Linked DNA regions of Daphnia pulex. The protein of the gene in region 1 interacts with the protein of each later gene in a pairwise test. Links are inferred from orthologs where the notes say so. Each region holds a gene or a part of one and is shown on either strand. Other genes may lie near its edges.

The links.
Region 2: the proteins of negative elongation factor B-like (region 1) and negative elongation factor E-like interact in binary tests that used the Homo sapiens proteins (3 or more experiments, as listed by UniProt). The link is inferred for Daphnia pulex from reciprocal best matches to the Homo sapiens genes NELFB and NELFE.

What each region holds. Positions count from the first base shown.
Region 1 is NC_060017.1:4,644,680-4,648,782, reverse strand, and holds negative elongation factor B-like, read right to left. Parts: upstream 2,801-4,103; 5' UTR 2,648-2,800; coding exon 2,366-2,647; intron 2,307-2,365; coding exon 2,267-2,306; intron 2,211-2,266; coding exon 2,062-2,210; intron 2,006-2,061; coding exon 1,945-2,005; intron 1,887-1,944; coding exon 1,765-1,886; intron 1,662-1,764; coding exon 1,167-1,661; intron 1,108-1,166; coding exon 957-1,107; intron 897-956; coding exon 817-896; intron 759-816; coding exon 657-758; intron 597-656; coding exon 378-596; intron 313-377; coding exon 190-312; 3' UTR 159-189; downstream 1-158. Other genes in the region: malonate--CoA ligase ACSF3, mitochondrial-like, read left to right, coding at 3,180-3,549, 3,607-4,060. UniProt on the Homo sapiens protein: Essential component of the NELF complex, a complex that negatively regulates the elongation of transcription by RNA polymerase II.
Region 2 is NC_060021.1:9,953,242-9,956,548, forward strand, and holds negative elongation factor E-like, read right to left. Parts: upstream 2,146-3,307; 5' UTR 2,055-2,145; coding exon 1,974-2,054; intron 1,911-1,973; coding exon 1,602-1,910; intron 1,543-1,601; coding exon 1,393-1,542; intron 1,325-1,392; coding exon 1,233-1,324; intron 1,175-1,232; coding exon 1,120-1,174; intron 809-1,119; coding exon 697-808; intron 628-696; coding exon 554-627; 3' UTR 501-553; downstream 1-500. UniProt on the Homo sapiens protein: Essential component of the NELF complex, a complex that negatively regulates the elongation of transcription by RNA polymerase II.

The sequences.
Region 1 (4,103 bases):
AAGGATCACATCAAACTGGAGGACTGTAAGTAGTTTTTGAATTTGATGTTTTTTTATGGCTACTCCATATTGACTAAGTTTTATTCTCTTCTTGTAGATGAGATTCATGATGGGATGAATTTGGAGCTCTATTATCAATAAATCATCATTAAATCTTGTTTGTAAGCCTGACCAATACACTGTTTTATTCTACATTGACATTGGAGTAGGTACATTCATCATCAACACAGAGTCATCATTGTGGACTCCTTGAGTCATAGATGATGGGTTCAGCTGGTATGATTCAATTCTTTGCTCCAGTTGCTTATAGACCTAAAGGCAAAGCACATTTATGGACATTTTCTTTTTTTTCTATGCCAATATAATAATATTTTTACCTGATGCATGATTTCAGGGGATTGAGGATTTGGTTGAAGTGCTTTCATTAAGGTATCAAGTCTAGCAGCAGGTAGCTTATGATGAACATACCACACAAGTTTTGTTAAATGTCTGACAACATTCTCCTTGCCAATTGATGTGAAAAAAAATTCATCAAAAACAACTGTGCAAAACATTTCATTGACAAATTCATCCTGCATTGGAATCAGATGGGCAACCTATTTTCCAATTATAAAGTTATTTACTTTAATGATCTAATAGGTAAAATAGGATATTACCAAAGTGTGAAGGAAAGGATCTTCGAATGATCGTTCGCCGTGACCAACAGCAAGCGTGCCCAAAACACGAGTTAAAGCCACTTTGTCTCTACTTCTTGCCACCTAAATCCGAGGAATGACAGTAATAAATGCCATTATTCACATATAGTATAAATAATACCTGGAGAGTGTAATACATTGCTAGAACACAAGGTACACTACTTTCAGATATGTATGCTTGGAATGCATCGGGTGGAGGTCCTATTATTAGAAGCATTAAGTAAACGTGCCTTGAAACTTCACAGTAATGGTTACATGTACCTGAATGTTCGATAATGGTCAAAGCTGATTCACGTTCATCACTGGGTAATTTCGAGTTTAGAGATCGGACTTGATCATCCACCATTAGCGACATGAGAGCCGGAAGAAATTTCGTGACAACTTGAGAATCAAGCCGTGGTTCCCGAAATTCCTGCACAAGATTACTGAAATTAATAAAGGAATAATGGTTGTTTTGAATCTTCGTCCTACCTGAGAATCGATCATCTGCCATGCGCTTAAACCAAGCGCAAGCATCCGTAACAATAAAAGTAAAATATGGTGTTCTCGAGGCAAACTTTCTGATGCAACAAGGTTGTGCAAAATCTTCAACGATGACGTAGCTAAGAAATGGACGGCATAGGGATCGCACAGCATCATAGACAGATCTCCAAGAACTTGTTCCTGGCCACTTTTTATACCGTCGAGAAACGCTTGAATCTCTCGAGAACGTTTGGTGTCGACATTACGTTCCCTTATGCAAGCATCCACGCACCAGGTGAACTTGTGACATGGATCAACGTTTGTAATTTCTTGCACTTCCGTCTCATGTAGAGCCATAAGCAGTTCAGCACGCAATGTACAATAATGAACGTTACGAGTACGTAAAAATAATGTTCGTAAGAACTGCAAAACCATATCGTACAGCCGAACGTTATTTCCGATCATATGCGCTAGCTTCTGGACCACTTCTCCTTGGCGGCGAACCTGGGAATCGAAAGAAAGATTTTTATTTTTCTCCTTGACCAATAAAAAAGGTATATATTTTGTCGCAGCGCCACAAAGACCATTTAATACCATTTCATTTTACCTTAGGAGATGGTAGGAAAAACAAATTTGTCAGATTATTTTGATCAAAGAGAAGTTGTTCTTTTTCCTTGATATATTGACTGAGTAAAGGTGAAACCTCATCACCAAAAAGGGATTGGTTGTCTAAAATTTGAATGAAAAGTTATAATACTTGTATTTGAAATGTTATCTAAGAGGATACCTTTCCACATTTGCCTCTTAACCACAGTATCACAATCATCATAAAGTTCTTTGTCTTTCACCTGAGATCAATCATTTCATTAAATTCTGAATTCAAATAATAAATGTATTACATTACCAAAACTTTGAGGTATTTTTCATCAACATGAGAAAGGTGTTTCATAACTGCCATAACAACTGGCCTTAGAGCTTTAGTTTTAACTACAAGAAAGCTTTTGTTCAACAATTCTTTCAATTTCTTGTCTTTCTCTTTTCCTTCTTTTTGGCCTGAAGATAGTTAATGTAAAATAAAACTGATTTTAAAATAATTAAAGATGCATTACCTAAATCAGCAATTTGGGCCAAAAGCTTATCACGAAGTGCCTAAAAGCATAAAAATAATTGAAAACTAAGTGTGTTTTAAATCTTTTCATGTAAACAACCTCCATGACAGATATGTGGAAATCAAGCCGCTTTACTCCATGTAAATCCAAAAGTGGCATCATTGGTCTTAAAGAAGGTAGAAGTATTCCATTTTCAACTTGAAATTCTTCGATGGCTTGAAGAGGATCACTACACGAAGTCAAAGCTTCTCTGAGAAATGTTCCTCCGGGTATTCCAAGGACTTCAAGACCAGATGCAGATGGAGTGCTGGTTGATGGTGTTACACCAGCCGGCTGACCAGCTGCATTTGGAACTGCCGAGGAAGAGGGATTTCGACTCATAATTCAAAAAAATAACGTTTCACACGTAATGTATTTCAAATTATAATATCCCGAAGAATCAGTTTCTTCGCGCAGTTTTCACTTTTCAGTGTAACTCCCGGACACAAATTTCCAACAACAAGTTTTTGTTGACAGTCTAGACAACGTTGCCGTTTCACGAGTATTATAGAGGAGCATCTAATTAGAAAATAATTTAATTACAAAATATTGGGTGGTTGGACCCCAATTGTAATTGTTTTGATTTTTTCCCCTTTATATACATAACATTTAAAACGATTATAGAAAAGATTGCAAACGATTGTGCAAGCCTGTTGGTCTTTTTGACTTGCGAAAAGAGGCCGGGAGCTACAGCAGACGACATAAAGTATTTTTTTTTTGTAAACAAACACATCAGTTGTCTCTATCCAGACTTCCAAGTTCCAAGGTTACTTCATAGGATTATTAATATTCTTATCAGATTCGAATTTTATCTCGACGTGCAGAATTACACCTTTATAGATGATAAGATATCTCACGATTTATTACTTGACTGATGAATAACATGACGATGCTCTCTGTTTTTCTAAAGTCATTGAGATCCGGTGTACTTAATTCAACCCTTCGAAGTAGACCATACTCTATCAGTAATACAGATCCTCCAGGCAGAATTCAATCCACGATGGAAAATCGTGGTATCATTCCTGCACATCGAATTGCTCTTCAACATCTCAATCGAGTTGCTATTAAAGACAGCCATGGATCTCATACCTATTTGGATGTGTTGCTTAAAGCCATTAAATTGTCAAATATGATTAAAAGTTCTATAGGTCCAGAAAAAAATCAAGAAAGAATTGGCTTCCTCTGTCCGAATGACTCTACCTATGTTATATCTCAGTGGGCCTGTTGGGCGGCAGGGCACATTGGTATCAAAACATATATCAAAACATAAAGTTCTCTAATAATGATTATTTCTATTGCAGCTGTACCACTCAGTCCGGTTCATCCTCCATCTTTGTTGGGTTACTATGTCAAAGACTGTGATGCTGCCTTAATAATTGCTTCTCAAAGTCATTCCCAATTGCTTAATGCTGTCCACGAAACAGTTGGTCAGGATACCAAATCTGTAATTCTAGAAGAATCATGGCAACAAACCATCAACCAAAATGTTACACCCACCCAACTAAAATCCATTCTCTGTGACACAAAGCCAATGGAATTTTATCAGAATTCTGATGCTATGATGCTGTATACTAGTGGAACCACCGGCAAACCCAAGGGAGTTCTACTGAGTCATAAAAACATCGATGCTCAGGTACGAATGTTGATTGAAGTATGGCAATGGTCCAAAAAAGACGTCATCGTTCATGCGCTTCCACTTCATCACACTCATGGTGTTATAAACGCTTTGCTGTGTCCCCTATATGTAGGAGCCAGGTATTCGAATTTAAATGAAATTACTTACTGTTATCGACACTAA
Region 2 (3,307 bases), on another chromosome or scaffold:
CGCAAAGCATTTATCTGTTATAAGCTAATAGGTCTGCGTCTGTCGATTTTGAGATATATTTTTCCCCTTCCATACGTATCGCTTGACAAATGGAGCTAGATTCTTGTCCCCTCTTTCCATAATATTCTTTCAAAATCAATACTTTATGCACTTTGAACGTCGGGAAAATCGTTCACCTTCGCACACCGCATTCCGCTGTCTATGTGATTACTCAACAACAAACAGAATTCCGTTTGCAATGCCCCGAAGAGTCTAATGTTATTATTACGTCGTTATGATCGTTTCAAGGTAAAATTACTTTTCTGGAATGGGGGCGAAGGGGATGGAAAGAGGCAATTTATCGTATATAAATGTTGGGGGGAATTAAAAAAAAGAGATTTGATCCGGGAAGCTAAATATTCTCTCGTTTGGTGCCCGTCTAAAAATAAAACTTGTTTTTGTTTTTTTCCATGTATTTCTGATGGGAAATTTATGTAAAATGAAATATCACTGTACATCCACCACGAGAAAATTACAATTACATAGAACCGCCTGTACTGTGATGATTTACTTTTTAAAACAATTCCTCTTCATATGTCACTAAATCGCGCTTATCTTTATAGGATCCTTTCTGAGAATTGCGAGCCGCTGAAATGGAGAAAACAAAAATAAATGACATTTCATCAAAACTAGAAAGCTCAATAAAATAAGGCTAACCTATTGTGGACCACGTAGCGGATGATGTTGCATCGTTTATAGGTTCGATGACAGGTTGACGCCTTGCGAGTGACACTTTTAGTTGAATACCGGATACCATGCTACCATTCATCTAGTATTCAGTCACAAAAGAAAAACAATGGCAGTGTATATCATTATTACATTCGTCATAGGGGAAATTTTAGTGACGATAGAATCTGGTGCGCTTAACAACCTGGAACGCCTTTTTTAAATTTCGAAATAAATTTACTACGAGCCAAAAGTTCCCACTAGGTATATTGGGCAAGAAACTTGGTATAAAAATTCCCATTACGATTTGGTCAACTACTAAAGCATTTAAAACCCACAGGATTTTGTTTGTCTATTTTAGTAAAATAGGCAAAAGTGAGGAGTAGATTTTTTAAGGGAATTCTCTATACATACTTCACTGATGGCTCTGTCTGCTGAAGTTGTTTTGTCGAACGTAACGAACCCGCAACTGAGAACAAAAAGGTATTTAATATTTTGCTACTGTTTGCTTTAATAGAAGATATTACTTTTTCTCAATTTCCATTGAAATGTTTACAACATTTCCAAAAGACTGGAAAGCTTTTTTGAGGATTTCTTCTGTAATGCTGTAGCCAAACACCTAAAAATGGCAAACAATGTGATTAATCAACACATTTCATCAAAAATCTACAGCCAAGAAATGATTACATAAACTGTGTGCCCCACTGTAGGTTTCTGGTGCTTCACTGGAGAAATGGCAGGAGAGGTAGGTGTTTCTTTGGGGTTTGTTGGACTAATTGAAGCTGGTTCAGCATCTGATTCTCTTGAAGAAATGAAATTTTCATAGAGATTGGGAACCTAAGCAGAAAGGAGAATGCTTGAACACAGTTATTTGGATTGGATAGTGTTGTTGTTACCTTGCTTTTGGTTCTAGCTTCATGTGTGACATGTTCTTCATTAGAAACCATACTTCCTTGACTTGAAGAAAACGGTTGGAATCCACTTGGTGCTCGATCAGAAGAGGAAAGTTTTCTTTCTAAGCCTCTTGATCTTTTGAATCCAGTAGTTTCTGTTTTCTCGCTAGGTTTTGGAATGGCTGAAATGGCTCCGGACTTCAAGAGCTTTTTAGCCACTTCTCTGGCGTCTCTTGCTTCTGCAGGTCTTTTGAGTGCAGGTGTTTTTTCTGGTTCTGGTTTGGGTGCTTTCAGTGCTTGCAAAGCTTTTTTCTATTTCCAGTATACTTCATTAGTAAAATAGTAAAAGGTATATACTATTTGCATGCAACCCACCTTCTTTTTAAGTTTTTGATATTTAGTTTGCAGCATTAATTCCTCTTCTGTCAAATTGGAGGGGAAATGAAGATAAACCATTTTATTAAGCGTTGACTTTGATTTTGTTCGTTCGTTTTGCAAATTTAACGTTAAATTTCGTTGTTGTTTACGCCGCCCAAGGACGAGTTGTAGATTTCGACGTTAGATGTCGCCTGTGGAATTCTTACGTAAATAACAATAGCAAGGGACCTGGTAACAGAACATTTTTTTTTCCCTCAAAAGGACCAATCCAATCACAAGTGTTTAGGTCACGTGTCTGAGCCTCGTAAACGGAAATTCCAGCCATTCACGATCCTTGGCCGCCGTAGCCGTCAGACGTGAGTATACCAAGGGGGAGAGAATAGACAGATTCGAGTACGAGAAACTGGTGTAACGAGACTGTGTGTGTGTGTGTGTGTAGCTTGAATGAAAAATCGATCCATCTGCAGTTGCTGCTGTTCTCATCATTCGTCGATACGAGCCTAGGTATAATTTACAGTGGTGATGTGTCAAGGTTACAAACATTTTTTCACACCTTTGTCTCCTACTTGATTCTTTTTATGGATTGTGCAGGTGTGTAGTAGAGCCCGTCCGTTTGCCGGCCTCATGATAGTACAACACGATACACTACAGGCTAGGTGAGTAAAACTGTCAATAGTTGCGCAATCTGTCTTTTATTTTCCAAAGTGCCGGCTAGCTAGAGAGTTTTTTCAACCCTCGAGTTATTCGAGAAACTTTCAAGGTTCTCTCCTTTCGAGTTAGGGAGAGACGACGATTCTTTTGTTCCATTTCGACTCGCATTTTCCCCCCTGGAAGTAGACACAGACACACAAAAAAGGGCAAAATAGTAGTAAAAATATAGTAGAGACACTTGCCCAGGAGAACCATCGAGTGGGCGGTGTAGTAGTAGTAGTATTATAGTAAGGTTCTTTCTCCCTCTTCTGGTTTGGGTTGGACACAACAATGGGGACCCCCAGCCTCTTTTGAAAAGAAGTAAAAAGGGGAAAATGCTTTTTCCCCACCAACCCCTGTACAGGTTCTTTTTTCCCCTATTATTTTCGGTCATGGTGGGAAAACAATTCAACTGAGAAAGACGACCAAAAAATGATGTGCCACAGTGCCAGTGTGTGTGTGTGATGAGGTCATAGTTGTTGATCAGAAGAACACAATTTCTGCCCTGTCATATTAATAAGAAATGGGCTGCTGCTGGCGTCTGAAAAATCAGTCGACTGGCGTGTAGTTCGGTCATTCTGTGAAAAAAAAAAAGTTTTTATTTTGGAAGATGTCGAGTGTAGTAGAATTGTAGGCGCGCG